4 linked regions of the Drosophila melanogaster genome follow. The protein of the gene in region 4 interacts with the protein of the main gene of each other region in a pairwise test. Each region holds a gene or a part of one and is shown on either strand. Other genes may lie near its edges. The genes, in order: Efhc1.1, CG11885, RpS19b and CalpB.

What was found.
Region 1: the proteins of CalpB (region 4) and Efhc1.1 interact in a two-hybrid assay, tested with the Drosophila melanogaster proteins (one large-scale study listed by BioGRID).
Region 2: the proteins of CalpB (region 4) and CG11885 interact in a two-hybrid assay, tested with the Drosophila melanogaster proteins (one large-scale study listed by BioGRID).
Region 3: the proteins of CalpB (region 4) and RpS19b interact in a two-hybrid assay, tested with the Drosophila melanogaster proteins (one large-scale study listed by BioGRID).

The regions. Positions count from the first base shown.
Region 1 is NC_004354.4:15,777,866-15,786,756, reverse strand, and holds Efhc1.1 (EF-hand domain containing 1.1), read left to right. Parts: upstream 1-3,046; 5' UTR 3,047-3,122; coding exon 3,123-3,173; intron 3,174-3,231; coding exon 3,232-3,779; intron 3,780-3,835; coding exon 3,836-4,109; intron 4,110-4,749; coding exon 4,750-6,258; 3' UTR 6,259-6,359; downstream 6,360-8,891. Other genes in the region: mRpS30 (mitochondrial ribosomal protein S30), read right to left, coding at 128-585; Paf-AHalpha (Platelet-activating factor acetylhydrolase alpha), read left to right, coding at 1,697-2,092, 2,161-2,442; CG43673 (uncharacterized protein), read right to left, coding at 6,695-7,377, 7,566-7,575; CG43672 (uncharacterized protein), read right to left, coding at 8,054-8,240, 8,318-8,891.
Region 2 is NT_033779.5:417,309-423,431, forward strand, and holds CG11885 (uncharacterized protein), read right to left. Parts: upstream 4,143-6,123; 5' UTR 4,059-4,142; coding exon 3,633-4,058; 3' UTR 3,587-3,632; downstream 1-3,586. Other genes in the region: ebi, read left to right, coding at 1-326; CG13690 (uncharacterized protein), read right to left, coding at 1,249-2,292; RpLP1 (ribosomal protein LP1), read left to right, coding at 2,767-2,838, 2,984-3,250; CG13692 (uncharacterized protein), read left to right, coding at 4,492-4,880, 4,935-5,127.
Region 3 is NT_033777.3:23,930,552-23,936,497, forward strand, and holds RpS19b (ribosomal protein S19b), read right to left. Parts: upstream 2,980-5,946; 5' UTR 2,926-2,979; intron 2,860-2,925; 5' UTR 2,845-2,859; coding exon 2,539-2,844; intron 2,469-2,538; coding exon 2,307-2,468; 3' UTR 2,178-2,306; downstream 1-2,177. Other genes in the region: Rpt2 (regulatory particle triple-A ATPase 2), read right to left, coding at 1-711, 773-775; CG13599 (uncharacterized protein), read left to right, coding at 1,162-1,443, 1,505-2,110; CG5854 (uncharacterized protein), read left to right, coding at 3,476-3,509, 3,620-3,793, 4,013-4,381, 4,478-4,746, 4,813-5,082; Gdh (glutamate dehydrogenase), read right to left, coding at 5,823-5,946.
Region 4 is NT_037436.4:9,886,834-9,896,905, reverse strand, and holds CalpB (Calpain-B), read right to left. Parts: upstream 8,145-10,072; 5' UTR 7,623-8,144; coding exon 6,682-7,622; intron 6,616-6,681; coding exon 6,341-6,615; intron 6,123-6,340; coding exon 4,561-6,122; 3' UTR 3,587-4,560; downstream 1-3,586. Other genes in the region: CG6707 (uncharacterized protein), read left to right, coding at 271-452, 518-727, 784-948, 1,030-1,146; Hez (hezron), read left to right, coding at 2,236-2,316, 2,374-2,562, 2,624-2,914; CG6709 (uncharacterized protein), read left to right, coding at 3,126-3,197, 3,252-3,388, 3,442-3,586; Taf2 (TBP-associated factor 2), read left to right, coding at 8,337-8,386, 8,450-8,504, 8,567-10,072. UniProt on the Drosophila melanogaster protein: Calcium-regulated non-lysosomal thiol-protease.

The sequences.
Region 1 (8,891 bases), on a different chromosome or scaffold from region 4:
TCAGACGGTCGAACTTGTAACTGGGACCACTCCAACCAATCCGAGTTCTTAAGTGAGTTGGACCAACTACTGTCCACAAACTCGCCGGAGAACTTGGTTCGTTGAAAGCGGACCTCGTTGTACCCACTTGTAGTAGTCGTGGGCAAACTCGAGGGCATCAATAACATCCCCGCGAGCCGCCTTGAAAAGACCATCCACGCTCGGCTGCTCCTGCTCCTGCTCGGAGTCCTTAGCCTGTGCCTTCTTATCCGTTTCAGATGGCAAATCCTCGAGCACTGTGCGCGTATAATGTTGCGTGAGCGGCAGTGCATTGTAGGGGATTTTCGAGTCGTTGAAGTCGACCACCTTGAAGCCGTAATAGCGGGGCATATTGATCTTGATCATCTTCTCCTCCACCGTCGGCACCTGCCGGATTTCCTCGTGCCAGTTGGCCGCATCCTTCTGCTTGCGCGCCTTGAAGGACAGATCCTGAATCTCCGGATATGCCGGCTCTGCGTCCGTACTATTCAGCTGCAGCTGCGACTGGCCGGACAAACAGCGCTTGTACGTCGTTCGCAGATGGCGAACACGGTTAAGCTTCAACATGCCGTCGAACCTAACGCAAGTTACGATTTATGTTTTCGAAGGAATAGAATTGACTTCAGTTTTTTGACAATAACTAGGTTATGTCATTGCTGCAGTGTGACCGCACGCTGGATTCAGAATAGGTTGCGCCAAGGTAGCGACGGAAAGTTTTGCGATGCCAGTGAAAGTAATGGTATAATTTCTATTTATGCAGTTCAATAATAATTCATAATGAATCATAGTCCTTTACTATTTAACGTGTAGGGGTACAAAATTTAACTTGCTTATGTTTCAAATCTTTTTATTTCTGAAATCAGTTATAAATCATCGTAATATTTTTTAAGCTGTCTAGAAAAAGCTAAAAAATAGTCTTGTTTCATTTGGTATATTTTCCCCTTGAAATAATGGCATATGGCTTAAAGGCACATGCCTTAAAAATCACAATTGTAAACTTAAATCAACAGAGATCAAAATAATTAACAGACTTCTCTGCGATAACGCTTTTGACAATTTTGAATAAAATGCACGTTACAAACAGTAACATATGTGACCGTGTAACGTTTTCGATAACGTATCCCACATCTTTTTCAGCTGTGCCAAGTGCAACATTGCTAGACAACACTTTCCAGCCCTGGAAAAATACCAAGACATCTACCATCTCTCTAAAAACGAAAACATAAACGCTTACCAAGAAAATCGTAGATTTTCTACACCAAATTAAAATAAACTTATAAAAATTTTCAACCTTAAATCCTTGGCAATTTCCATGTACACGAGGGTGGCCACATAATTCTACGACATTTACGGATGTTAATGTTGAGGTAACCTAAAACACAAAAAAAAAAAAACAAAAAAAAAATCTTCGCCATAAAAACGATTTATTAAAGTAAACAACGGTACGGAGTTGTTTATGCTAGCGACTATCAGTTCAATTGTTTGTCCACGACTGCAACGCTGTCACTGCAAGCCGAGCAGAACGCCCAAGTATCCGGTAAGACTAAGCCGCAGACGATGCCTCATTCATCCGCATGCTGAAACTGCAACTGAATCGAAATCGAAATAGGAATAGGAATCGGAATCTTTAACTAAAACTCAATATTGGTCTGCAACTGAGTCTGAGCACGCCGACGAAATGAATCCCTGTGTGCTGCCCACCCCATTGCCCGATCTGGATGGCGACAAGCGTTGGCACAGCATACATCGCCGGTTCATCTCCGATTGCCGCGAAAAGGATCCGGATGTGATATTCCTCGGCGACTGCATCTTCGAGACCGTCCAGGACACGGAGGCCTGGAATAAGTACTTTGCGCCGCTGCACTGCCTTAACTTCAGCATTCGCGACGACTGCACCGAGCACGTACTGTGGCGCATCGAAAACGGTGCGCTGGACAATGTGAATCCCAAAATCGTCGTCCTCCATGTGGGCACCAATAATGTGCGGAACAGCGCGGAGGAAGTGGCCGAGGGTGTGCTCGCGAACGTAACGAAAATCCGGCAAAAGCTGCCCAACGCCTATATCGTTTTGCCCGTAAGTACAATAGTTGTGGTATTAGCCAGCCGCAGTAAATCATCGACATTCCCATCTCTCCCTTGCAGTCGCTACTGCCGCGTGGCCAGCAGCCCAATAAGTTGCGCGAAAAGAATGCCAAAATCAACGAGGTGGTCAATGGATTGACCAAGGGCTTGTATCGCGTCCAGACGGTGGCCATTGACAAGGGTTTGGTCCAGACCGACGGCAGTATCAGTCATCACGATATGTTCGACTATAAAAATCTAACCAATGCTGGAGCGAAAAAGATATTAGAACCACTCTACGATCTGCTTTCTCAAATTCTCAACGAAAACGAACCTGAAAACGATCTCACCCCCTCCGAATAAAAGGAATATCCAGCAGCTATCCATTATATATATACATACATGCATACATACACACATACATATACCACAAACAATTCCCAGAATATAACTTAAAACCAGAAATGTATTTTTTGAAATCTCATAAGCTATAGAGCTGCGAGACTAACTCACAATTAAGCATACATTTTTCGTATCGAATAGTAAACCATCGCATATACCATTGCATTATGATATTATTTTACATTGTATTTATAAGAAAAGAAAAAAAACCGAAATGACTGTCATTGGGTAAAATAGAAGTTATCTTCAAGCATCAGACATTCATGGATTTTCGCTAGCATTCGTTTTTTTTTACGTTTTCCGTTTGATCACCCACAAATTAACTTTTGTTTGATATATTGACAGTATTCTTGTATTTTATTACTATTTTATGCATTGACAATAAGAAGTAAAGTTTAATGCAAACCGTGGGAGACGTTTGATAAGTGTACACGTAGTGGATTTTTTAAAAGAGGCCAAATCTATAAATAGGAAGTATGCGGACCTGGAGAAATAAAAAAAAGAGTAGGCTCCGCAGGATCTGGACTTAAATTTTCTTCAATAGTGCTCTGTATTACATTTAGAGCGTACACCAAATATACAAAATATTTCCAAAGAGAAAAGGTCGAAAACGGGTCAATAATTCACATAAAATATATACAATGCTGCGCATTCCTGGAATGCCCCTTCTTCCGGGGACTCTCTTTCGCGATGTAAGTACTTCGGATTGAACATCAATTGGGATTAGATATACATCTATGCGAGTAACAGGTATCCAAGGGACATTACCCCAAACCGCAATCGCTGGCCAATGTCCAAGGTCTGAGCATGCTGAGTGATCGCCAGCAACCGGCTCCTGTGGAATCGGGCAGCGTTACGGTGGACATAAGCTGTCCCCCAGTTGGGGCGTCCTCCATATATCCGCCACGTTCGGGTCCCCGTATGCCTCCATGGCTGGCGTATGACAAGAAGGTGCTGTGCTTCCATGCCTACTTCAAGCAAACCCTTCAGGAGGTCTACCATGCGCCCTATCTGGTGCGCAAGGTTAAGATCTACTACTATCTGGAAGATGGTACTTTAGAGATCTACGAGCCCCGGGTGGACAACTCGGGAATTGTGCAGGGATGTGTAGTTCATAGGCAGCGGGTCCAGAAGGCGCCGCCGTGCGATAATGAGTTCATGTCCCTCATCGATCTGAACGTGGATCAGACTGTTCAGATATTTGATCGTCAGTATCATATCACCGATTGCGATCCGTTCACAAGAACTTTCTTAAACAAACGCGGCATAACCGTTCCCGATCCGGTCAAATCGCCATGGTAAACGATATTTGAATCTCGGAAATTACCCATTTATAATGTCCATTCTCATATAGCGATCCCACCGAGGAGCAACGAAAGCGTGAAAACCAACCGCGATCTGGTAATTTAATCCCAAAGAATCATCCGTTTGCCCAGTTCCTCAAGTACGATAGGCAAATACTCAAGTTCCAGGCGTACTGGGACGATAGAACCGAGTTCGGAGACGTACGCAAGCTGGAGCTGTGCTACTATCTCTCCGACGATACCATCGAAATCAAGGAGCAGCACATTCGCAACTCAGGTCGCGACGGCCCAACCGTTTTTCTTAAACGCGGGCGCTTAGCTCGAGTAAGTAAAAATAAGTATAGATGGTACTGGTATTTACCATAACGACTTACAATACGATATTAGCAAAGTAAATTGGGATGTTGTAGCCCAGATCCCAAGATGTTTGAGATAGGTTGGTTTACATGATATCTTCTTGGGATTCCTTCTATTGAACTTTTGTAGTTTCGGATCTCTTGATATTTGAAATCTTCCAATTTCCCTATAAACCTGTAGATATAATTAAGAGTGTAGGTAATTAACCTAATTAGCTGTGCAAAACTGTAATATTGACCAAGTTATATCGTATTCATGTCATAATATCGTATTTTTGCCATATTTATACATATTTTTAAGGAAAAACTATCCGTTTTTTTACATTAGCAATAAAAAAAGTGGAATGTCATACCTCGTTGAATTCGTAACCAAATTCACCATCGATCTGTTTTCAAAATTGCAAATTTTAACTTTTTGCCATTTTCACATATTTTGCTGATTCAAAAATTTGTAAAAAAATGGATTTTTAAAACTCAACATGAAAATTACACATGTAGTAAGATCCGTTTATTAGCCGCATAAAACAGTTCTTTCTTTTAGTTATGATGGAAAATCTGTTCGCAAATATCATATTTTATGATTAATACTATATATCTGTTTTTGGTAGGAGTTCGAAGGACTCCAGCTGCCAGGACAGATGACCCCGATGACGCTACTGAACGTCCTGGGCACCAACATGCGCAACGTGCGCTACTGCGTGGATCCGCTGAACACTGGAAACAAGGAGATTCATTACTATAGGGAAAAGGATCTCCAGATAGGCAGTGTGATAAACGTGTATGGCCGTGCGGTGGTGATAACCGAACTGGATCCCTTCACCCAGAACTATTACCGCCAGCGATATGGCATACAGGATTTTACCCCACTGCCGATCCCCGCCAGATCCGATGATTGTGCTGACCATAGATCGGAACGACAATTGCCACCGTACAATGGATGGGGTAGCTACGAGGATTCGGTGGGCAATTGCATATCGGTCGAACCGAAGCCGCCAAAGTCCGATTTCAAAAAGTTCATCAAATACGATCGTTATGTGCTCCGCTTTGGCGCCAAAATGCTCTCGACCATCAAGGCGAATTGCGAGCGAATCTTTGTGATTAGCTACTATCTATGCGATGATACGCTGCAAATCCAGGAGATCGCCGTGCGGAACTCCGGATTCCTCGGTGGTGAGTTCATGAAGCGCACACGCTTGGAGTTGCCTGGCCAGGAGAGGTTCTCATGCAAGCAGCCGCAGTACTATATGCCATGGAACTTCTTTGTCGGATCGACTATGTCGCTGAAGGACTTCATTTTTCACATAGTCTCGGCGGACGAGTACACGCTTATGTACATGGAGCACCATCCGGAGATCTTTCCCCATGCGAATGTGGGTGTGATCATGGAGAAGGTGAAGAGTGCCCTGCAGAATCGCATGGCGGAGTTTGTGGGATCGTGTGTTCCGGACTGTACGGATCTTGAGAAGAAGCGTGATGTCTTTGTGTCCTTCGAGAGTTTCAAGGGCGCCCTGATCAGCATTATGGGTAACCAGATCAGCGATCACGAGATCATCAGCCTCTGCCGGCACTTTTCGGCGGAGAAGAGTCAACCAAATGCCTGCGATCGGTCCACGGTGCGGGCGGCGGCTCATCTCGAGCTTAAGAGAACCCTGTGGAATGCTCGGGATGATCTGATGGAGCACTTCCATCACATCAATCCGACCAACCAGCCATTCCTGCCCGAAGTTAAGGTGAGATCGGCACTGCGGGGATGTCGCCTGCCATTCTCCTTGGAACTGATCGACAATATACTCTCGATTCTGAATCGCAACGAGTGCGACGACATCGAGGTGTGCGACCTAATGAACTTCATCGACGTATCATGCGGCAAGGGCTGCGACATGCTGCCCGTGAACCACGCCTTCGAGCTCTGCCCCAAGATCCCGTTCCTGAACAAGGGTCGTGTGGTGAACTTCACTTGCTTCCTGAGGGAACTTAATCTGCCCCTCAACTTGCCAGCCGGCGGCGAGAAGAACAACGATGCGATTGCAGAGGGTGGAAGGATAATGCCACCATCGGCCATGCCCGATACCGATGCCCACAAGGCGAATGAGGACGACGCACAGCACATGGCTTGATTGAGACACGTATCTTGCAGTGCACACACATATTTCGTTCCAAATTATTTGTTGTAATTCCTTCCATTATCTTGAATCGTCAAAAAAAAATATATATTTTGAAAAATCGATTTTCTTTACTAGGATTGGCAGATAGGATGCATAGCCTAATTGCTAATTTTTAATAACAATATTTTGCAATAGCAAAACTTAGTATATTTCGTACTTACATATATAGATAGTTTCTAATTTAGAATTAAAAAAAAAAAATGATTTTCATGATGCATTGTTTCGAATGTTGCTTTGGTTTATTTCACCAATGGTTTTATAATTGATTTATATATCTTTAACTGATATTTTGTGATCCAGGAACCAAGATCATTCAACAGTATTTACGATATCCACATATGCTACTATGGCAACCATTGTATATTGTATGTGCTATTGGAAAACACGTCTAATTCCGATTGACTGGGCAATTCAGTACCAACTCGCGATCTTGGCAGGATTTCGTCTCCCGATCGAACCACTGATTCCGTGGGCAATTATGGCGCTTGACCCGATTCTTATGGCACATATAGAAACGACGGCAATGTTTGGGATCTGTCAAATACTCGCCATCGTTTATTCCACGGCAATCGCGCTGGGATCTCAGCACATCAATTCTGTTAGTGAGTGGATGCGGAGTAACTTGGAAGATGGAATGGGCATCATCTGCATCCTCGGTATCGAGAATAAGTTTCGATTTTTTGGTGGTCACTGCGGGTGTCACTGTCGTCGTCGGTGGACAGGTGGTTGTTTGTGGTGGCGTCGTGGTGACCTCCCCATTGGCCTTTCCATTGGGCACCAAAGTGACGTTTGCTTTGACGTCTCCCAGCACAGAACCGCCGCGATCCCCGTTGAAACATTTGACTAGTCCGGGTAGATTGCAGGTCTGGATCTTTGGATCGTAATACAGGCCATTGGAGCACTCGCGCCGAACGGCATTACCACGCTGGCACACAAAGAAGCTGGAGCAACTGGCCGGATCCGCAAACGACAGGCCATTGAAGCGATCCGCACAAACGGTGCTGCCCAAAGCTTCAGTCAATGGCACCGCCGACGACACTAGGATCACCACAAATAGATGCTGTGCAATCCCTAAAGACGAAAGAATATACAACAATTTTAATATAGATTTAACAATAAGATCTTTAAGCTAATTGCACATGCATGTTGTTTGGACACACATGCAGACATTATGATCATATTGTATATATCTATTTTTGAAGTATCCCATATATCCTTTGCTATATAATCGATGTGGTATAATCCATTGTTCGACGTACAAACTTTCATGTTGGTAAACCGGCTTGGAGGTGCTGTTTCAATAACGAGACAAATTTAGTCCAGACTCGCTTTTATAGTCGGAGGCGCCTCCTTATCGCCATCGCCATCGGCAGACGGCGACGGTTACATGGGTAACGTTCACTTCTTGTGTGGAAAACACGGCTTGGACAAACAGTATACTTTTCGCGCGTGCTGCGGGAACTAGCGTGTATCGCCAATGAAACCATTAGGAAATTGGCAGGGAATATATTTAGATATATGTATATTGCTCGTAATGGTTTTATCAGCGTCTGCTATTTTGGATAATGCATCTCGAAATAGTTGCACTCGCCAGTTTCACATTTGATAACAGTTTTGAAAAGAGCAAATAGTTATGCGATGTCTTTTAGATATCCATGTTCCATGTTCTAACAACAATAATAATACTACTACTTCTTGAATAATTCTTTACTTAATTACTTTGCAACTTTCTGTTTACACAATTCGTTTAGTAAGGAAATGCATCCTTGTTGCTTTTCTGGCGATGAATGCTAAGGAACACAGAGTTTACCGACGGCTGAGACACGGAGAAGGAATAGAAATCCTGCTTGTTGCGATGCAGTGTATCGACGATCCTGGACATGGGGTACATGTGACTGGACAGCCAGAAGCAGACCCTGGGAAAACTAACATTCCTGCAGGGATAGAAAAGGAAAGAGAAAATTAGAATGGAAATGGAAATGGAAAGCTGTGCCTCAGAGAAATGCCTCACTTGATAATGGCATGTGGAAATACGTTTTCGATGACTCCGCACAGCTTTAAGTACTTCCATCTGTCCGCGCTGTCAGTGAAAGCCGCGGAGAACTCCTGATGCTTGTGCCGCAATAACGTCCCAGTGGTCCCTGCTCTATCCTCCTTTGCCTCCGTCGATTGCGAATCAAAGTCAATGGGACTGCCCAGCTCGGCCAGATGGATTCTCGTCTCCACCATGTAGTACGATGAGTAGTAGTTCTGTTGCATCTCCTCGCGCTCCCCAATCACCGCGATTCCTGGATAGCTCAGCGTAGCCATACGTAGAGCGGGCGTGGAGTACGCGGTGTCGCTGCAGGTATAGATAATGCTATGACCACGCCTGCGCAAATCGTGGATTATGTGCAGCATGCTGCGCTGCGACACGATATCCAAATGGGTGAAGGGATCGTCCAGCAGGATGAGCTCGGCATCGCTCATCAGGGCAATGCCGAGACTCAGTCTTTTCAGTACGCCCTGACTGCAGATGGACAGCGAGTTGAAGCGATATTTGTACAGCCCGAAGATTTTGCACAACTTTGTGGCCTCCGCCCTGA
Region 2 (6,123 bases), on a different chromosome or scaffold from region 4:
ATCCAAACACAAACCTGATCCTCGCATCCGCTTCGTTCGATTCCACGGTAAGACTGTGGGACGTGGAGAGGGGCAGCTGTATCCACACGCTCACCAAGCACACAGAGCCAGTCTATTCGGTGGCCTTCAGTCCGGATGGAAAGCATTTGGCCTCCGGCAGCTTCGACAAGTGCGTACACATTTGGAGCACGCAAACGGGACAGCTAGTGCACAGTTACAAGGGCACGGGCGGAATCTTTGAGGTGTGCTGGAACTCCAAGGGCACTAAGGTGGGTGCCAGTGCCTCCGACGGTAGCGTTTTCGTGTTGGACCTGCGAAAGTTCTGATTGCCGGAGCAGCCACAACTGGATTTCGTGTATTGAGCCAACGCTTAAAATAGTCAAGATTCCTTTTCCAGCTCATTATTTGGTAAAAATGAAATCGGTAGTTTTTCACTTTCTTACGGAACGAGAAGTTTTTACTTTTGATTCAAAAATTGCATTTAACTATATTTTTTAAAGAAGTGAAATATGATCAGTTACAATTCTACCAACATAAGTCGATTTGGATCTGGAGTCCGGACCTTAGGTAACTCCTTTCTTAGCTATCCCGCCCTGCAATCGTATTTGTAATTGCTTTAAATTCTAATTAGTTCTTTAAGGTATACCTCTTGAGATGAGATCCTCCCGCTTTTGTCCACGTCTATTTCGTACGCTTAGTTTCGAGTCACAAAATATCGATATGCACCTGGGATTTTTGGGGGCTTCAACATGGTTGTTGTTCTCTTCAGATCAGCGGGATGCGACTCGCCTCATTTTAATCTTAATCATAAGCTCCATGTTTCTAAGGTCGTCCCTTTTTATACGAAAATCGTTTAGTATAACTTTGCATTTTGTTATTGTATCGATCAAAGATGCCAGCCAACTCCCCGCCCTCCCCACCAAAAGTCCTTTACCCAATTCCACAGTTGTCCTCCAAAAAAGGGATGCCAAGAGATCAGATCAGACCGATTCACGCATACATTCAGAACAGTGTAACTGCAGTCCCACGTAGTCAGTAATCGAACGTAATTATTAAGAACACGAGATTGGCGGAAACACAAGAACATCAGCAAAAATACATTAAAGATAAAAATTAATCTGTTTTCGTTTTGGGCCTGGGTGTTTTTTGTATTTTAGCATTTTAAAATTTAATACTAAAGTACTTAAATTAAACTTTATTCTTTGTAAATATAGATACTCCTGAACTTAATTTTATTTTCATTTGTTGCTAAAACTCCATGACACTTTCCAGATGGCGTTGCTTAAAGAAGCGGCACTCCTCGCGAATTATTTCGCCGGATTTTGTTGTGCCCTTAAAGAACTTTGTGAGCTTGGTGCCGGCGTACTTGGGCTTCTCGGAATCCGGCTCGTCGAACTCCATGTCATAGGCCTTGTCCGCCAGTGCGTTTTCCGCGGTGGACCAACTGAAGCGCACAAGTCGTGGAAATCCAAACACTAGATCGATGTACTCGGTCAGAAATCTTCTTGTGACCGGATCTCCCGGATATCCACTGCCGAACTCGTTGTCCTTAATGACCAAGCCCTCGGGGAAGCTCCACACCTTGAGGGCATGATCACGGGTAACTTTGGCGCATATACTAGCAGCAGAGACTATTGGATAGGTGGAGTCAGCTTTTTTCGCCACGGTGATTTTAAAGCTGGGGAAACGTTTGAGCAACTTCTCCTGGTACTTCTCCGGCGGACCCACCGTATCCACATAAACCTCGGCTATATTGACGCCCGCATCGATCGCCTGTTGGATAAGGCCCATGGCCGAGTCCATGGAAACTTCGTTCAGGGAGCACTTCGACCGCCGGTACATGCTGGTGCTGATCGTGTTCGGCGATATGATCTCCACGGCCCAGCCAACGCAACTGGTCGCATATTCCTTGGTGTTGATATCGTTAAATATGATATCACGTTTCCCCTCGGTTAGTTGTTTGGAATCGGCGCATCCCAGGTCCTCTAAAGCCTTGTTACTTTCCAGTGGACAGTAGGAGATCCCATATACCATAGGTCCCAGGACGGGACCACGCCCTGCTTCGTCCACGCCCAGCATGCACGGCTTATCCTTGCAAATATCCGGAACATCGCTGAGGTAAACCGTGTTGCGGCTATTCTCCTTGCCGGCTATAAATGGACCCAGGGCCTTCAAGGAGCTTATTTTTCCGCTGTCCTTAAAATCTACATCATCGGGCTCTTCGTCGTTCTCATCAATATTTTCTATACATTTTTTTTCTTTTTTTACAACTACGTCTTCTTGGTCCGACATTTTCGCGCGCTTTTTTTTTGTTTACGTTTAAACGACGCTATGGGCACACTAATTGTATACATAAAGTTGCAGTGTGACTCATTCGTCATTATACCAAAATATCTTTTTTTTAATATTCTCAATAACCGTACGGAAAGGTCTTTTATTAAAATAGAGAGATAAACATATAACCAGAGAATTATGCTAAGGCTTCTGTCCAAGATGCTTAAAAATAAACTAGTTTAAATAAGAGATAATCTCGGCAGTTTGAACGAGTTTTCCTCTACCTAGTATTTCCTGACAATAATATGCAAATTTTCATAGACGGTTGGTATTTTTCTTCGTCATCGGCGCGGTCACACTGCATATCAACTGCTCTTTCCGGTTTAGGATTTTGACCAGCGTGCTTGTTCTCGTCCCGAGCTAAGGCCATTTGTTATAAACAATTAATTTTTGGCAACTTGCACAATCAGTGATTAGCCACAGCACTTCGACATGTCCACCAAAGCCGAGCTCGCCTGCGTCTACGCCTCCCTCATCCTCGTCGATGACGATGTCGCCGTCACCGTAAGTTTTTCGATATTGCAATCGGGGACGAAGCAAATCCTCCAAAGCCGCGGCCATCGGCCGGAAGTATTGGACAATTTGCGGGTCCTATGGTTTCTTTCGCACTGCTGCAACTTGTGCTGATCTTATTTTTTGGATTCACCAGGGTGAGAAGATCAACACCATCCTGAAGGCCGCCAACGTCGAGGTGGAGCCCTACTGGCCCGGTCTCTTCGCCAAGGCCCTGGAGGGCATCAACGTCAAGGACCTGATCACCAACATCGGATCCGGAGTTGGTGCCGCTCCCGCCGGTGGTGCTGCCCCTGCTGCCGCCGCCGCTGCTCCAGCCGCCGAGTCCAAGAAGGAGGAGAAGAAGAAGGAGGAGGAGTCCGACCAGTCTGACGACGACATGGGCTTCGGTCTGTTCGACTAAATCCTCTAGAGAACTTCTCGACAACCGGACATCCGTTGTGTTTGTGCTGTAATCCTCGAGAGGTGGACGTGTACCCGTTTCCCGACCTGCGTACACGTTTTTAATGTACAAATGTGAGGAAATATAGAAGACGTTTGCTAAAAAATTATCGAGACTCATTCCTTTCACAACGGTGCAGAATTATTATGGTTTACTATGTTATTGGTCATTCCACTGCCTTTTTGTGAGTAGATTCTATTTTGGGTTTTTAAGCACATGAAAGAGGTTGCAGTAGAATGGCCAATAATTTGGTCAGCCGGGTTGAAGGCTACGATTAAAATGTTCAAGGTTTTTTTTACAAAAACTGTCACAGCTAATATTTATTGGATATAACGAACGCAGACTAGAATAACGTCTCCTCGAGGACCTTAGCTAGGGCACGAAGATTGGGTCCGTCGATTTTCTTGAGACCCAAGCCCACCACGAACTCCGTCGGGCACTTGTGGAGTCCGGTTCTGTTGACCAGAAACTGTATGGCGCTGCGAGTCTCGTCGGTGTCCAAGCCCAAGCAGCAGTTCATCGTGATTGGCACCGATACGTGGAACTCCGGATTGTCCACGGGTCCGTGCAAATAGGGAACCACTCTTTCGTCCTTTTTGACATCGAAGTGCACGTTGTAGATGCCGGGAATCTTGCCGAGCTGCGTTATGACTAAGAACCACTTCTTGGCAAAGCAGTGGAACACTATCTCCGTGGGAACGCCGTTCACGTCCGCTGAGAACTGCCTGTCGAATCCGATTTGTCGAGGTTTGTTTGCTGTGTGGTTCATTTTTTGAGAGAATTTAAAAGCGTTTAACAATGTTGATATTGTTTACGATGAGACAGCATGAAAAAACGATGAAAAATACATCGATGTTTTATCGATAGTCATTATGCATTGATGTGCTAATATGAAGTGTGGCCGAATGGTTCCGAGTTTCGTGACTCCCGAAGCACGCAGTTCAAACGTTTGCACTGATTTCCTGAGAGCGCCATCATGCAGAAAATAATTGAACTACTGACACAAGATTTCGATTACGCGATTGATATTAAATGTTCAACCATTTGTAAATATTTTATATATAAAATAAGCCAGAAATAACAACATGTACGTGCTTACTGAACTAACTTTTACAATTTTAATTTAATTAATTAATTAATAAACTTTGGTAACCAAGGCTACCTTTGTTAGATCCATAAATAAAATCCAAGTAAAAGCAAAAATGTCCACCTGCATTTGCTTGGGCCCCAAAAGAGCGGGCAAAACGCACCTTTTGAAAGCTTTACAGGATCCGGAATCCATCGATGAGACCACGTTTTCCATGCCCACCATTGGCACTGGGATTTACCGAATCCATTTCCCAACAAAATCGCCAAATGGGGATAAAAATAAGCCTCCTCCCTCAGAAGCTCCAGCTAACATTCCTCATGGCGGTAAAAATCTGCCCAAGTCCATACAGATCCTGGAAATTGGAGGGAGTATGGCCCCCTTGTGGAGGCAGTATTTCGAGGATGTCAAGAAGCTGATCTACGTCGTGGACACCTCTAATCTCTGTCAGATTTCAGCCGCCGGCGTTCTTTTCTATTCAATCCTCACCGAGCCGCGTCTGCAGTAAGTAAGGTGGAAATGAACTGAAAGCTCATGCACTAGTTAAATTCGTCGCAGGCATAATACTAAGATCCTGTTGGTACTGGCCAAAATGGATTACTCCTACCGCCAGATGCGAAACGAGGCTCTGCTCATGCTGCAGATGCAGAAGTTGCAAAAACAGATCCGCCAGCAGGTGACCATCGTGGAGGCCAGCGCCGTCACCAAAGTGGGCTTAGACCCCATCTACGATTGGCTGCAGAGACCCTAAATAATAAAATATCATAGAAATTAGTGTGTCACTCACATTAATGATACACCAGTGAAAATATTAAACTCTATTCCGATGCATTTTTATGTGGCTTTAGTTAATAAAATTAAACGTGAACACTGCCTAATCTATCAGATAGAAGTTAATATCTAGATTAAGACCTAAACTTCCCAAAAAGCAGAAAGCAGAGGAGATGCAGATGCATCCCGGAAGACAAACCAAGAAACAAGTTGGTTATATTAAGCTCAAATTAACATTAAAAATTTAGGTAGATTTACAGAGAGGTATAGTCAGGGTGTCCCAACAGGGTGACTCCCCAGGGACCGGAACAGGCGCACTGCAAAGTAATTAATGTTTTGGCCGACCAGGTATCCATGGTAATCGCCTCGTACCCCGAACCTAACCAATTCAAACTATACCGGAAGACCCTTTCCATATGGCGAGTATACACCTATACCTGCTAGAGGCCAGTCAGTCGATACCAGCAACCGCAGCAGCGGAGGAATCTACAAATTAGGTCCCGTGCAAAAGAGGTAGGCGGGAAGTACAAATTATGGGCATAGAAAAATTAGATGGCATGGAGACGAGCCAAGAACTAAGACCAGATTCGAACCCAGAGGAGTCCAGAGGAGCGGAGGAGGGAGATGAACCGCAGGAAGCAGCAGCCGCATTCCTGATGCCCCTGGATTTTCGGGCTTGGAGGGGCAGAGGAATGACACGCATCCGGTTTTAAAATTCCAGTGATCGAAGCGCAGCAGAAGAGCCCGAAAAAAGGAACTCAGCCGAGGAATTCAAACACTTGAATCGGACACAGATACACAATATACTGAACGAAAAGAAGAAGTTTTTTGAGAATCGAAATATTTATTTATTATATGAATATGAATATGATTTCCAAAATATGATTTCTTTCTGTCCAACCTAATCAAATTTACTCGTTCTATGTGGAATTCTCAACATCTGTGTACAGTTTTTTTTTTTCGAGTGTGACAACTA
Region 3 (5,946 bases), on a different chromosome or scaffold from region 4:
CACTGCCTTGGCTAGCAGGGTCTTGCCCGTACCAGGAGGCCCATATAGGATGACGCCCTTGGGTGGCTTGATTCCCATTTCCTCGTAGTACTCGGGATGGGTCAGTGGCAGCTCAACAGACTCCTTGATCTCCTGGATCTGAGTGTCTAAGCCACCGATATCTGCGTAAGTCTCTTGCGGAGCCTTTTCCAGTTTCATCACCGTGACCATTGGATCGGTGTCGTCGCTGAGAACTCCGACTACAGCGTGTACTTTGTGGTTGAGCAGCACGGAGCAGCCTGGTTCCAGCTGATCCTTGTCCACGAAGGACAGGATGCTAACATAGTGCTCGGAGCCCACCGATGTGGACACGATGGCGTGGTTGTCGTCGATGATCTCCTCCAGGTTGCCCACGGACATGGGGGTGCCGCGCAGATCGTCAACCTTAGAGCGCTCCTCCTCGTTCTTCTCGTCCTGGGGCTTCAGGCGCTCCTGGTTGCGGATGAACTCGTCCTCCATCATCAGGTAATCCTTGATGCGCTCCAGCTTGAGCAGCTTAAGGCGGCAGCGGGTGTGGGGCGTGACCTGGGGCAGCTTCATGGCCGCATCTGGACCCTTTGCGCGCCTCTTCTTCTTGCCAACGCGCGTTGGGATTGGAGGCTCGTACTTCTTCTTTTTATCCTTGTCATCTTTCTTTTCGCCAGCTCCCCCTTGAGCCGATTGGTTTTGTCCCTGCAAATGTATTGTTCCCGATCGTAAATGAGTTCAGGGTGTTCTGAAGGTGCTATTTTACCATTTTGTCTTGGTGCTTGCTGCTTTGCCGAACGTTTGATGAACTTTTTACTCTTTATTGTCGGCAACAAAATTACTAGTCATTCGCGTTAGCTGTGTTGCCGTACTATGGAAACATGAAGGTCTGGCAACTCTAAGGGTGAACAAATATTTTAAAAAAACGTGAAAATTAAAATAGGCAAGAAATGCTTAAGCAATCGGATTAAAACAATAGTAATGATTAACAACCAAAATATAAATGAATTCAAGACTTGAAAAAAGCAAATTTTAAAAGTCACTGTTTTATATACTTATCGATTACTGTAAACAAACTGAATGTTTCAGTCTGGCAACGTTTGCAATTAGTGCGAAAAGAGCATTTGTTTAAATTTGTTATATTGCGACCTTTTAATGGATCAAAATGTCAAGAATGTTGATCTTAAACTGGATAACATTGAGGTTCTGACCAGTGGGACAACAGCGGAGTTCGTGAATGGCATCCTGGACTTCTTGCTCTATCAACGCCGGCAAATCCCCTTCGTGTACAAAACATACAAATATTATGTGGATAAATGGTCAGATGCTGATGAATCGGGAGAATCCAAGGATCAGGAGTCCTTTGCTCATTACCAACGCAACCAGCAGCGCTCTAAGGCAAAGGCCACCAAGGAATCTATTAGTGACATGAGAGAGGTGAGGTTCCCCTTACATCCAGGACTTCTTTTGGTCTTTACTTGCCAGTTCTCTCCTACAGATCATCCGACAAGCCTTCAGGAGCTCTGAAGTGAAGAGCCTGCGATTTCTTTTTGGCAACAATATGTTCATGCCCTCGGAGGCCTATACTCTGCACATACCACATGATTCCATATCCAGAGATCACTATTGCGAGCACCATGCTCTGCCCGAAGGTCGCATCAACCAGGCGCTGCTCCGCCTGCTCACCTGCGAGGAGCTGTACAGGCTATTCTCCACCGAACTAAAAGTCACCAACGTGTTTCTAGAAATGGAGCTCCTTACAGACTCCGATCGACCCCAAGGATCCCATTGTGACTCCTTTAATCTAATCCCAAAGCATATATTAAGCCAACTTCCGCGCAGCTGCAAGAACATACACCTGCATCTACTGCATTGCAGTGAAAACACACCGAATGAATTACGCTGCTGCAAGGAGATGGATATTTACCACGATCTTGGCGTGCGGAATCTGGATAAATCTGGGGAAGACGTTAGCCAGACCAACGAAGAGCATGACGTTTTGAAAGCAGCAAATGAAACCAGCGGTTGGTGGCAGGCCGAGGTCATAGTTCGCGGTTTCAGAGCTCCTGGCAACCAAAAATCGGGAGATTTGTGGTCTAGCTAACATTTTATAACTTGGATTCTTGCTATTCGGCGTGTTTGTGTCAAAAATAAAGTTTCGAATCGTTTATATTTCAAGTATTAAGTTATTTTATTATGTATATAATTGTTTAATTTTATTTTTGGTTTCGATTTATTGAGAATGTTTTGAAAACCCAAGGCACTCAAAGATGATCCATCGTGGTATTGGTATTATCATCTTAGGTAGTGATAATCATGGAAACTGGTGCACTGCGCTCTCGCTGCTTGGCCACAATCTTGTTGGCTATGCGATCCAAGTTACGTTGTCCTTGCGGAGTCAGCTTACGACCACCATCCGGGTGCCTCTCCACCATGTTAGCAGCTTCCAAGGCTTGAAGAGCCTGCTCATGTGTTAGATACATGCTAAGTAATATTAAATATAACCTTAAAGTACAACCATTTCCCACTCACCTTGCGAATACAGCCATCCGATGAGCGACAGTGCTTGGACGGACGAACACCGTTGCGCTTGCGCCCGCTATAGACCTTGGTGAAGGCCCCAACGCCGGCGGGACTGCGCAGGTACAGGTGTCTCATAATAGAGGCGCAGCGAGTGTAGAACCAGTCGTCGTCGGTAGGAGCAGTCTCCTTGAACTTGCCAGTCTTCATATAGACGGCCTGTTCGGGCACAAAAATTTTTCCGGATTTTTTGAGAAAAGCAGCCATGTTTTTGGTCAGAACGTGCTGATCGATTTCCTTTACTGTGACTCCAGGCATGTTGCTCTCTACGTTCTTGAAAGCACGTTTTTAAGGCTCATGGGTCCGATATATGTATGTATGTATTTAAAAAAGTCTTACCTTTTGAGAAGAAAAAGGTTTGCTTCCGGTTAGTTTGCTGACTTTAGTCAAAATGGACGATTGGCAAGTGACGTTTGAAAGAGGGACCAGGTCATTGACCCCAAAGGATTACTTTCCGATAGTTTTGTCGTGCAGTATTGGTGAACTTGGCAATTCTTTTCGAAAACTTAACCTATAAACTTGGAAAGGAACGCAATGTAGCAAAACTACTGTTCTTGGTGACAGGGGGTTTAAGGTAGACTAACAAGGACAATTTTATGACACTGAAGCCCTATGGAGTAAGAATCAAAGAACTGCTGTATTTTGGTTTGTATAAATGAATAAAACGTTCTACGCTAATTGAAGAGCATTCGAAGAGGTTTGAATACAGCGCCATAGGGTGACCAGCTTGTGGAGCATTGAAGGTATTTCTTGTTTTAAGAATGATCACGGGATGGTCACACTAGAAATACAGCCAAACAAAACAACAAAAAGCATTTCGAGCGCTAACAAATATATATCTTTCGACTTGACTCATTCGCATTCCGGTTGACCGTGTCGCGCCTGCAGCATGTCTGAAAAGCCGACTGTTCTGATTTTGGGTGGTAAGTGGTCCCGCTGCATCCTCCTCATCGTCATCCTGCCCCCGCTCCCCACTCCACACTTCCGCTTATCAGCATCGCTGACTGCATCGCTGCTCTTCCTCTTCCCGCAGGCTGCGGCTTCATTGGACGCAACTTGGCCACTTATCTGCTGGACAATGAACTGGCGCAGGAAATACGACTGGCCGATAAGACCCCTCCGCAGATGGCATGGCTAAACGAGGAGCAGACGCGGGTCTTCGAGAGCGATCGGGTGGAGTTCTGCAGCGCGAACCTAATAAACGCCGGTAGGTAATCACTACATTAGGGTGGCTCGTTCCACCAGGATGCGGATCACAACTCCTATGGAGATCCAAAATCCGCAATTAACATTCTTGTGAAAGGAAAGCGCTATCGGATATAGAATTTTCAAGTACCACCTTGGTATCGCTGCGCGTAACGAGCCACCCTAATGCATTTGTTGCACCTAAACTGGTTATAGAACGCTTCCCTTTGTTTTCATACAGCCTCATGCAAGGCGGCTTTTGCGCCACACCCCACCACTGGACGGGCCTGGGACATTGTCATCAATTGTGCGGCCGAGACGCGTGCCAACCAGGATGATGCCGTATACAAGGAGGGTATCCTGAAGCTCAGTTTGAACTGCGCCAATGAGGCGGCTAACCAGCGGGTCAAACGATACGTGGAACTCAGCTCTGGTTGTGTGAACAGCAGCGAAAAGACGCCGTTAAAAGAGGACTGCAAGACGGATCCCTGGACGGGCGTGGCCAAGCAGAAGCTCAAGGTGGAGAAGGAACTGGCCAACATCGACGATCTCAGTTACACGGTCGTCCGTTTGCCCGTGGTCTATGGCATTGGCGATAAGCGCTATTTGAGTGAGTGTCCCTCTTCGCTGATACCCGATAATTGATGTAATTGACAAAGCCCATGGGTTAATCCCGAACCCACCACCCATTGCCTTTCGTTTACAGTGCCGCGCATTATAATCGCTGCCATATACAAATACCTGAACGAGACAATGAAGCTGCTGTGGAACGATGCCATGCGTTTGAATACTGTGCACGTATCGGACGTGTGCGCTGCCGTTTGGCAATTGGCTCAGAGTCCCAAGACCGCCGGTCAGATCTACAACATCTGCGATGATTCAGCATCGACGCAGGGCACCATTAGTAATCTTTTAGTGGATATTTTCGACATCAATTTGGATTTCTTCGGCCTTGTAATGTCGAATTTGGCAAAAGTAAGTTAGCATTTAATCGGCGCACTAAGCTTCAGCTTATTGTTTATTATTCGCTTGAATTTTCAGCTTTATCCCACGGACACCGTCAGTGAAATCAACGACAAGCACATGGCACCCTGGGCCGAGATTTGCCAGCGCAATGGCATCGACAACACCCCGCTGACACCGTACCTAGATGAGGAGCAGCTCCAGCACAAGCACCTCTACTTGGATAACACGAAACTGAAAGACTTTGGCTACGTGCTGCAGCATCCGAAAGTCACTCGCGAGCTGCTCATGGAGATGATTAACGACTATGTGAAGCAGCAATTGTTTCCGAAATCGTTGGTTCTTTGATTCACTACTTCTATCAAAAGATTGCACCACGTTGACATGCACTCGGACCCGGAGACATTTATTCCCTGTAGCTTGTAATCCACTAGTTTTTTAAACGATTATCAAACCTCTTCCAATTTGTATACGGACACGGATACTCTCACATGCACGCTGTGCTGTATCTCCGTTTTTTTTAATCACAAAAGTGTACTTATAGTATTATAGAACCCATATATTTTTGATACATTCCAGTCGATCCAGCGATATATACGTTTTTGCGTACGAGTATTCCATTGTGATTAGCTAAGTGACCAACCGCAATCGACAATTAAAATGCACTTGTTTAGAGTTTAGTTTTGTGTATATTTGATTATTTTAATGTTACGGCAACGGAGCGATCGTACGATAAACGTGACTTGACGGTACGAGACGTTGCGATACATAATTGAAAATGCAATTGCTTCACTTTGACGCTCATTAACTTAAAAATTACAGAAAATCAACAATAATAAGCTCGCAACTTGTTCAACTTAATACGAAACACGGGCGAAAGTTCGCTTTTGTTTTGCTTTGTTTTTTAAAAGAGTTATTTTGGCCAGCTCCAATTGCCATAGATATAAATTACGATTCTTGCATTTCGGTTTTGTGACTTTTCATCTAAGACGGCGGTGCATGGAGCAATAGCAATAGTTATGCTCTTGAGTTCGATTGCTTAATTAACTAGTTAAGAGTCTGGGGGCTAATCAGCACACTCAGCGGGCTTAGAAGGCCAGGCCGGCATCGCGGTATGTGGTGAAGATCTTCTCAATGGAGTTGACGTAGGCAGCGGTTCTGAGGTCCAGGCCCAGGTTGTACTTCATGGCTGTCTTCATGATGGCGCGGGCG
Region 4 (10,072 bases):
AGTTTAATGCTTGTACGAGAAAGCTGCATTCATAACGCCAAAACATTGACCCATTTGGTTTATCGCAGCTTCCCAGAGCCACACACTGCACACTATCAGAAAATGCAGTTCTCACTCCCTCCATGAGCCAATCACCGCCAGATGAGCAGTGTGGTTGAGCGAACTCTGCTGGCGAGATGTATTTATTCTACACCAAAGGTCTCGCCTTTGAAGGGCATGGGTCTTAACAATATTATAAGTAGTTAATAATACTTTGCAATGGAATTTTAGGCAATGGAGCACCGACCGCAGTGCCTTGCATTGGACCCGATGAGCTGCCGCCGCCGTATCAGCAGAGTACCAACACCGGAGGCGTCCCGATGGTCACCTGTCGGGTATGTCAACACATGATTGACATCACCACGAAGCGGGAGCAGCACGTGGTCAAGTGCACCCACTGCAATGAGGCTACTGTGAGTAATTCTAAGCAGATTCTTTGAATCCAATTGTAACTTAATACGCTTTTGGCTATCAACAGCCCATTCGGAACGCTCCAGCGGGCAAGAAGTATGTTCGCTGCCCATGCAACTGTTTGTTAATCTGCAAGAGCTCGTCGCAGCGAATCGCTTGTCCAAGGCCCAATTGCAAGAGGATCATCAACCTGGCCCCAAGTCCCGTCACCCCGCCCGTGCCAACCATGCCGGGCATGTGCCGCGTCACTTGTGGCCACTGTTCGGACACGTTTTTGGTGAGTTATTAATCCAAATCACAGCAGCAGGAGTCTTGTAACGCTTGCTCTTACAGTTCAACACGTATCACAACGCCTTGGCCCGGTGTCCACACTGCAGGAAGGTCTCATCGGTGGGCTCGCGCTTTGCCAACAGCCGCGCCGTGATGTTCGCCATCGTGGCGCTGGTGTTCCTCATCACAGGCATCGCTGTAACTATCGGCACATACTCGATTGCTTCGGTAAGCCAAATCAATTTAAAATCAAGCTGAAGTATGTGATTTTCTAAACCCATATGTGTGTTTCCTTTTGCATTTTTCCAGGATCATGGTGGCATGTACTTCCTCTACGTGGCGCTGTTCGTGATTTCGGGTTGCATGCTGGCCAGGTCCGCCTACTATTTCCGCCTTAAAGTGAGCGCCATCGATGGGCCAATGTAAAGCTAAAGCACGGGGCCAGTAGCAAGGAAGAAAGTGCATTGTTTTATTTTTATATATATATATTATTCATATATATCATTCCTTTTGATATTAAATTTAAAACTAAACACAAGCAGCCAATTTGCAGACGGAACATATGAACATTTCTCCAGCAGTTCAGCTACATACAAAAATTCTTCGTTTCGAGCAAAACTAATAGCAAACCTAGCTAAATTTACGAAAGAAGGTCTCCCCGTTGAAGAGCATAATTAGGATATTAAGGCCGTAACTAACTAAACACTATACTAAAAGCGAATATTTCAAGGGTCGCCGTGCAGCTACCATTCAAGTGCTAAAAGTAAAAAAGGAAAACCCCGATCTGTGTTGGCAGTCATTAGTTATTAGACCAGCGACCGATCAATCCACAGTGCATCTCATTTTTAGAATCGTCAGGATCCATTTTAAAGATTGTACAGTTTCGTTGTTTAAGTGTCCGATTTGTTATCCGTTCGTGCCTGTCCTGCAAGATATTTCGGTATTCATACATTACGTATTCGTTGATACGCTTTTGAGTTTTGTGTTGCCTAAAATTTAACCAATGCACTTTTTCTCAGTTCTCGCCAAAGCGGAGGAAAGCGTTTTGTTGCCTGGCGTTAGAAACAATTTGAAGGGTATGCTAATAGTGCTAATGAAGGTACATACACATACGCGCATATACAATACCATAAATACATAATTATAATGCAAATAAACAAAGCAACATTTCTTGAACAACAGAGAACAAGCAAACGCTCATGCAGATATAAAGAAAATTAATTTAGACAGCAACTGCTAAACTGCGAAATTGCATATATATATATGATTAAAAGGAACGGTTTACTTTTGAAATATATATATATATATACAACAACATTTATATTTAGTACATTATAAATTAGCATACATACACTGTAAATAAAAAGAAATAAAACCACAAGCACCACCAACTTTTTGGCGACAAAATGACAAGGCTATGAAAGTAGAATAGAGTGCCTTGAACTTGACATCGGACATCGGCTGGGATTTTCGATTTCGATTACATTTTTAAAGTTTTTAAGTTCCTTGGCCAAGATGTCATCATTGGCTCCTTGCTTTACTGTGGGCTCTATTGTGCGCTGCAAGACTTGTTTTGGCGACAACATTTCGGGCGAGGTAAAACTAAATATTATTTATTATTTTTATGATTATGTAATGCTTTCAATTTCCCAGGTTGTGGCCTTCGATCTGGGCGTGAAAATGCTGATAATGAAGTGTCCATCAAGCAATGGCGGTGGCGACGAACAGACCACTTGCAATGTGACCATTGTGAACCTATCCCTGTGCATGGACATTGAAATAGTAAAGGAAGCAATTCCGCCGGCTGAAGTTCAACAGCCAGAACCGATTGATTTGCCCATGGTAGAAGCACTCTCTATATAGATATTTAAAAGAAACCCCATTCAACCATTTGCAATTGCAGATCCGAGAACGATACCGATACGCAACCGAACATCGTACGCTCTCCTGCCGGAGCTATCATCCCAATGCCTCGCCCTTTGGTCAAGCTCTGTTCAGACTGTTAGTCAAGCGATTCGGTGATCCCGCTATCATCTGGCAGAACAAAGGCGACCAAGTGGCGATCAATATACTCCGTCAGGTGGTCATCGATGCGCCGTATGCCACGGAGAATATCCGATACCTCGATTGGAATCCCAAGCTGGCGATATGCGTCCAAGAGGTCGTTCAAAACTTTTGCAGTAAACAATTCTAGAACGATGGCCCGTGCCCATGGCAACAGTTGTCTAGATAGCATCCGATTCTCTGTACGTTTTGTTTATCAACAAAACAATTCAAAATACACATACATATAGCCATGACACCCACACAGAATACTGCTCTTTATCTGCCAGGGGAAACCATTCTCGTTTGTACAAATTCGATTTAATACACTACACCACAACACCCAACACACATAATACACGATGGCCGATGATGAAGATAAACCAAAGAAGCACACGCTGGACAGCCTGTTCTTGGTGTATTCCAACTTCCAGGTATGATGAATGACCCGGTTAATTGAAGAGTAATTTTCATCTAAATGATGCCAGGTCATACCCACCGACATCGAGAACGAGTACTTTGACAGCATACTCCTCTCGCAGTTGGACGCCTGGCTAGAGCAGGCCAAGCTCATGCCCAATCCCATAACTCGAACTCAGACCGGTTTAATATACATGCGATACAAGTGAGTAACTACATCAAATCTACATATCATTCTTAATCAAATACATGTTTCAGGAAATGGCGTTTGGAGTACGAAGACTTTCTCGAGGTCCTAAATAACTTGGCATCCGATAACAATCTGGCTATAGATGAAATGAAGCAAATAATGATCGATGCTGGCGTCCCGAATGGTGCTGATGTAGTTATAGTCGTCAAGTAGATTGAATCATCACTGCATTTTATTTATATGCATACAAAAAGTCGGACAACAAATTATTAATAGTAACAATTGCATACAAGAGTAACTTTGATTAATTCACAAAAATTATAGTAAAATATAAAAGCATCCAACAAAAAGAGCCTCTAAACCCGATTGGTTAATTTCAGTTAGTTAAACACTTATTTTGACATAGAGGGTGCCTAATTAAGGTATGTTTTGAGATTACTGATCTGAAAACTAAATACAAAATATATGCGTATTACATTTTTTGATGTGATTCAATAAATTGACTGATATTCTGAAATTCTGCTTAAGCTTATAAATATTCGATGAGTTGGTTGGCTTGTTCGCTTCGCGTTACTTTCCTGATAATAATAACAACGTTTGTTTGGGTAACAGAGTTTGGCTGGACTTATTTCTAGCACCTGGGCAAATATGTGGACTGCTCGGAGCTAACGATGTTACAAAAATACATGCTTATTCATTCCGTATATCTAATAAATATTGTCGATGCGTTCTAATGGCTTTCCGAGCGTCTCATAGCGATTGTAAGGTAATAATGCACTGTTTGTACTAGTAAATTTCCGGCTCTTGACGAGGTGCATGGAGTGGATTTGCTATTGATGCTTGCTCTTAGTCATCCCTCCAGTTGCGCAGCATGGTAAAAAAAAATCTATAGCGTTAATTTTTTGAATTGTGTATGCGGGATTTATACTGTTTACCGTGCATACTCGTAGCAACCTCGTGCCGTTCCAAGGCCACTCCAATTTCGCCACATGATTTGTATTTCCGGATATGGTCATATAGATAAGATTCTCTTGTTGGCTCAGTGAGTGTATCTCTTTGCATCGCCGGATCGCATTGTCATGGATTTGTGTGTTGGCTTTCTCATTTGAATGCATGAATAATATGATGCACAGGTAGATTAAGTATACGTCGCACTTAGGATTAGATTAGTAGCAATTGCAAGTAATTTAAGAGTAAATTGTTCGCTCCAGCCAGTCGTCCAAGTTGAAGAAGGCCGTGTCCGAATTGTCCGTGTCCCGTTCGCGGAACATCTCGATGAATGTTCTAACCTTGATGGCACACATCAGGAAATCGTCGAATGGTATTTGTCCCTCCCGCGATCCGTAGCGATGGGCCAGGGCGTTCAGGAGCCGGTTGTTCAGATGATAGCCAGCCGAATTGAGTGCTCCGCGCAGATGGAATCCATCAATACTGCCAGTGCGACGGGTGTCATATAGCTTAAAGACCGCCCGCCACTTGGCAATATCGGTAAGCAGAGCTTCGAACTCCTCGAAACCAAGGCGACCGGAGCGATCCTTGTCCAGCATGGCTACCATCGAACGCACGGCATCCTTGGAGAAGCCATCACTGCCCACCATAACATCGCGCATAGAGTGGTCCAGGATGCGCTTCAGCTCCTGCCAGTCGACTTCCTCATCGCTGCCAGCCACGCTGTCGAACAGACGACGCAGTGCAATGCGCTGCGGATCATCCTCCTCCTTTGGAGTCGGTGGCGGCAGAGACGGAGCAATGCGATCGTCGGTCTCGCCAAAGCCAACCTCATCGTCGTTCTCCTCCATATTGTTCCTTGTCTCCGAGAAGACGCGAATAATGAACTCGCCCTCCTCATTCGGATCGAAGGTCGATGGAACAATCAGGTAGTGGCCAGGTGGCAACTTAAACCGGGCGCAAACCTCGCGCGTGTTGATAAAATGTGGTGAACGCGCCACCGATGCTCGGTACTTGAAGAAGTTGAGTCCCTGGGGCTTCACTTGCATGTCACGGTCTGTGAGATGATATATAGCAAATCCGATGGTCAGACAGTCGATGCCCACGTTGCGCTTGCTACGTCGATTCTTCTGCATAAGGGCCACAATAGCCGTGCATTTGCCATCGTCATCCTCGTCGTCGGGATCCTCCAGCGAAATGATGTACTGCGGATTGTGCCAGAAGGTTTCCAGGAAGTTTCTGCAACCGCCGGCTGTTACTCCCGATGTCCACTCACCCTCGAACATGGACATTTCCCACTTGCGGCGAGAGCTGTGCTGCTGATCCTCAGTCAGCGAGTCGGGCGACAAATTACATATCTCCACGCGATCAAAATGATTGAGGAAGTCCTGGAAGGACATCCAGAACTCGCCGTCCCTATCGAAATTCAGGCCAATCTCCTCCTTCGTGTGCTCCGGAATAAATCGCCACTCAGGCGAGCTGTCGCTCCACGGACCGCTCCATTCGGCATCGTTGCCCCATGGATTACGCATACGTATCATGGGCAATTTTCCCTGCCGATTGGGCGTCGATATGTCCATGAGGCACACCTTGGTAATGGAGTATGCATGACCGCGAATCAAACCTTGTGGCGTCTCCGCTTCCAGAACATGTGGATCCGGCTCCAAAGAGCAGCCCATCATCGAGCCACGCTCGGCGGCCTTCATCATGATGCTGAATAGATTTGGGGGCGCCTCCTTGATGTCGTACCACTCGGTGACGCCGCCAGTAAAGTCCTCCATGGCCTCGCACGTGGTGCCGCCTAATCGTGAAGAGATGGTTACAAAAAAATTATTAGAATGAAAGTATTTAAATTTCAGATCTATTCAACAAAGTCCTAACCGCGATAAGTGCCACATTAGTTTATTTTTTTTTAAGAACATATGATAAGCATAGTGTATTTTTAGAAACTAAAATAAATTTTGGTATGCCACAAATTTTCTACGCTTCTACAAATACTGATAATATTCCATTTCCTACCCTTGAGTGCTTCATAAGATCCATGCAGCTTTGCATAAGCCTTCTCCAGCAAGGCACTCCAAAACTCGTTCTTCTCCGTGGAGTGCATGTAGATTAGCTCGCCATTATAGGTGGGCAGACGGTCATCAATGACCACTTCCACCCACTTGCCATACTGCCAAAACTTGAAGTGAAAGATGCCAGCGTAGTTCTCCTGGAAGTCCTGATCCGGCGGGATTACCCTAAAGAAGAGCGTCGAGTCCTGCGTCAAATTGGCAGCTGCAGCCAGTAGCCAGCTGTGAAGGAATATTTAATTTTTGAATTTATGTCCACTTATGTGTTATTAATGCGTTTGGTCTTACCAATCGCCAAGTTCTCCTTGTTGCACATCGAATCGTGAATAGCCTTCCACGAAGAACTGCGGATCATCGGCGATGTCACCGGGACGCAGCCACTCGTAGTAGCGATCCGGTCGTCGTGAGTACATCAGCGAAGCGTTGGTGGCCGGAAAATCGGGATCCTCGAACATGGTTCCATTAGCCAGGCAACTGTCGCGCAGCGATTGGAAATCGCCTTTGCTTACGCTGTTCTGCCGGGCACTAGTGGCCTTGCGACCCATCCAAAACATGTTCTGGTTCTCGGGCACCTTCACGCTGGTGAAGCTTAGCTCGGCCACGCCGACGGAAGGTTCCTCCTCCTGGGTTGGAGCACTTTCCGGTGGCGGTGCCGTGGGATATGGTAGTGCTGGGAATCCGATATTGTGCTGGGGAGCCGGACTCGTTGGCATGGGAGCGTACGGCATTGGCATACCGGGCAAACCGGGCATGGCAGATGGATATGGTGCGAGCGGAGCCGCCGGATAGGGTAGATTGGGCTGCGGCATGCCAGTTGGATAGGGCATTCCGGTTGGATAGGGCGCCATAGGCGCAGTGGGGTACGGCAGCGATGATACGTTGGCTGATGGCAGACTAGGATAAAGTCCTGATCCAGGGTATGGCGTGGCACTGGGGTATGGAGCCGGCGCTGAGGGGGCTTCTGGCACGGGCATTCCCATGCCCATGGTGGGTCCCGCATACGAAGCATTCTGGGCATGACTCGTCTGCTTTACCACATATGGCATTCCGCCCACGGATTCGGATGATGGATAGGGCAACGAGGGGTAGAGACCCGCTTTGGGTTTGGGAGCTCCTCCTCCTTCGTTCCCGCCGCTGACTTCATTCTTGCTGTAGCCCAAGGCCGCCAAATTGACAAGGCCAATGCCACTGGCATGATAATTCTTGGGGTAATTATCAATGCCGTACATTTTTACTGGTTTTTCGCTGTGGTTTTCCTCGTCCACGCACTGGTTTTTCCCTAAATCTAACTACTAATGGCGTTGCAAATCGGCTAAAACTACGGAACTGGATGATATCCAGATGTTTATTAACTCGCTGCCGTGGTAAAACTGCTGACTCGCTGAGAATCGTACGCTTTAAATGGGAGAAGTATCCAAATTTAACTTTCTCGGTAAATGATTCATAATCTTTAACCCTTGCGCGTTCTGTATAAATTTTCTTTGAATATGCATGTGCAATCAAAAAAGCTTTGAAAATGCAGAATGAAATATTTATAACATTCTAATTCATTTATTAACTCAGAAAATATATTATAGAAATATTAATTTTGTTTTATTAAACAGTTTCAATAAAAACAAATATAGCTTTTAATAAATTTTAGTTTTCTAAAAAATGTATTTTTATGGTATTAGAGAAGTAGTTATGTAGTCTATATTGTTTACGAACGTAAACTATTAAATTAGTGTCAATATTGAAGACCCAACACGTTTCGAGGGTTAAAAAAAGGCGAGCAGGGCTACATTGTCGCGCAGAGTTGCCATCTTTATCCGAATGAATTTGGTATTTTTTTAGCCCTGTCGGCATTTTCAATAGAAGAAGAAGAAGTTAAACAGTGCTGTGTTTTTTTTTATAACAAACGCAAATTAGTTAATAAATTCTGGCGCAGAACCGGCATTTGAGCGATGGAAACGCAACCTGAGGTGCCCGAGGTGCCGCTGCGACCGTTTAAATTATAAGTATTCACCCTGCTCTGTTAGGAATCCAAAAATAATGAGTTCTCCCTTTTGAATAGCACGGCGCATCAGGTTGTGAGCCTCACGGGCATCAGTTTCGAGCGGAGGAGCATAATCGTAAGGATATAACTTAGATACACTTAAATATGTACAAAACATAACACACCTCCTCCCTTTAGGGCGTGGTCGAGCTGACCATTGTGCCGAACAGCGAGAATCTGCGCCTGATACGCCTGAATGCCAAGCAGCTGAGAATCTACAGCGTCGTTTTGAACGATGTCTGCCAGGCGGATTTCACGTACTTCGATCCCTTCCAGAACATCTGCTACAAGGAGCACAAGAGCCGCGCGCTGGAGGTCTACTCCAAGCATCATCTGACCGCCGCCCAGTACACCGATCCCGATGTGAACAACGGCGAACTGCTCATCCAGGTTCCGCCCGAGGGCTACTCTATGATCCAGGAGGGTCAGGGTCTGCGCATCCGCATCGAGTTCTCGTTGGAGAATCCCAAATGCGGCGTACATTTTGTCATACCACCCGCTTCAACGGACGAGGAGACACAGATGAACAGCTCGCATATGTTCACCAATTGCTATGAAAACTCGTCGAGATTGTGGTTTCCCTGCGTGGACAGTTTCGCCGATCCCTGCACCTGGCGGCTGGAGTTCACTGTCGACAAAAATATGACCGCCGTTTCGTGTGGAGAACTTCTAGAAGTCATTATGACCCCAGATCTGCGAAAGAAAACCTTCCACTATTCGGTTAGCACACCAGTATGTGCACCAAATATTGCGCTGGCTGTGGGTCAGTTTGAGATCTACGTGGATCCGCACATGCATGAAGTGACCCACTTTTGTCTGCCCGGATTGTTGCCGCTGTTAAAAAATACGGTTCGCTATTTGCACGAGGCATTTGAATTTTACGAGGAGACCTTATCTACGCGCTACCCATTCAGTTGCTACAAACAAGTGTTTGTAGACGAATTGGACACGGACATAAGTGCCTATGCCACTATGAGCATTGCTTCGGTGAATCTGCTGCACTCCATAGCTATCATCGATCAGACCTATATATCTCGAACCTTTATGTCGCGCGCTGTGGCTGAGCAATTCTTCGGCTGCTTTATTACATCCCATCATTGGTCGGACACCTGGCTGGCCAAGGGCATTGCGGAGTACCTGTGTGGATTGTATTCCAGGAAGTGCTTCGGCAACAACGAGTACCGTGCTTGGGTGCAATCTGAACTGGCGCGTGTCGTTCGCTACGAGGAGCAGTATGGCGGCATTATTCTCGATTGCAGTCAGCCGCCAGCTCCTTTGCCTGTTTCGGGCACAAATCAATCGGCGGCTTCCAGCAAACAGCAGGAGATTGTCCACTATTTTCCCATCAAGAGTTTGCACACCGTATCGCCGAAGTATGTGGAGGCGATGCGAAGGAAAGCGCATTTCGTAATCCGGATGCTGGAGAACCGCATCGGGCAGGAGCTGCTGATTCAGGTGTTCAATAAGCAATTGGCTTTGGCTTCAAGTGCGGCAACGACAAAGATCGGTGCAGGACTCTGGTCTCAGCTGCTCATCTCGACCAACATTTTTATCAAGGCCATCTTCACCGTAACCGGAAAAGATATGTCTGTCTTCATGGACCAGTGGGTGCGCACTGGAGGGCACGCCAAGTTTTCGCTCACA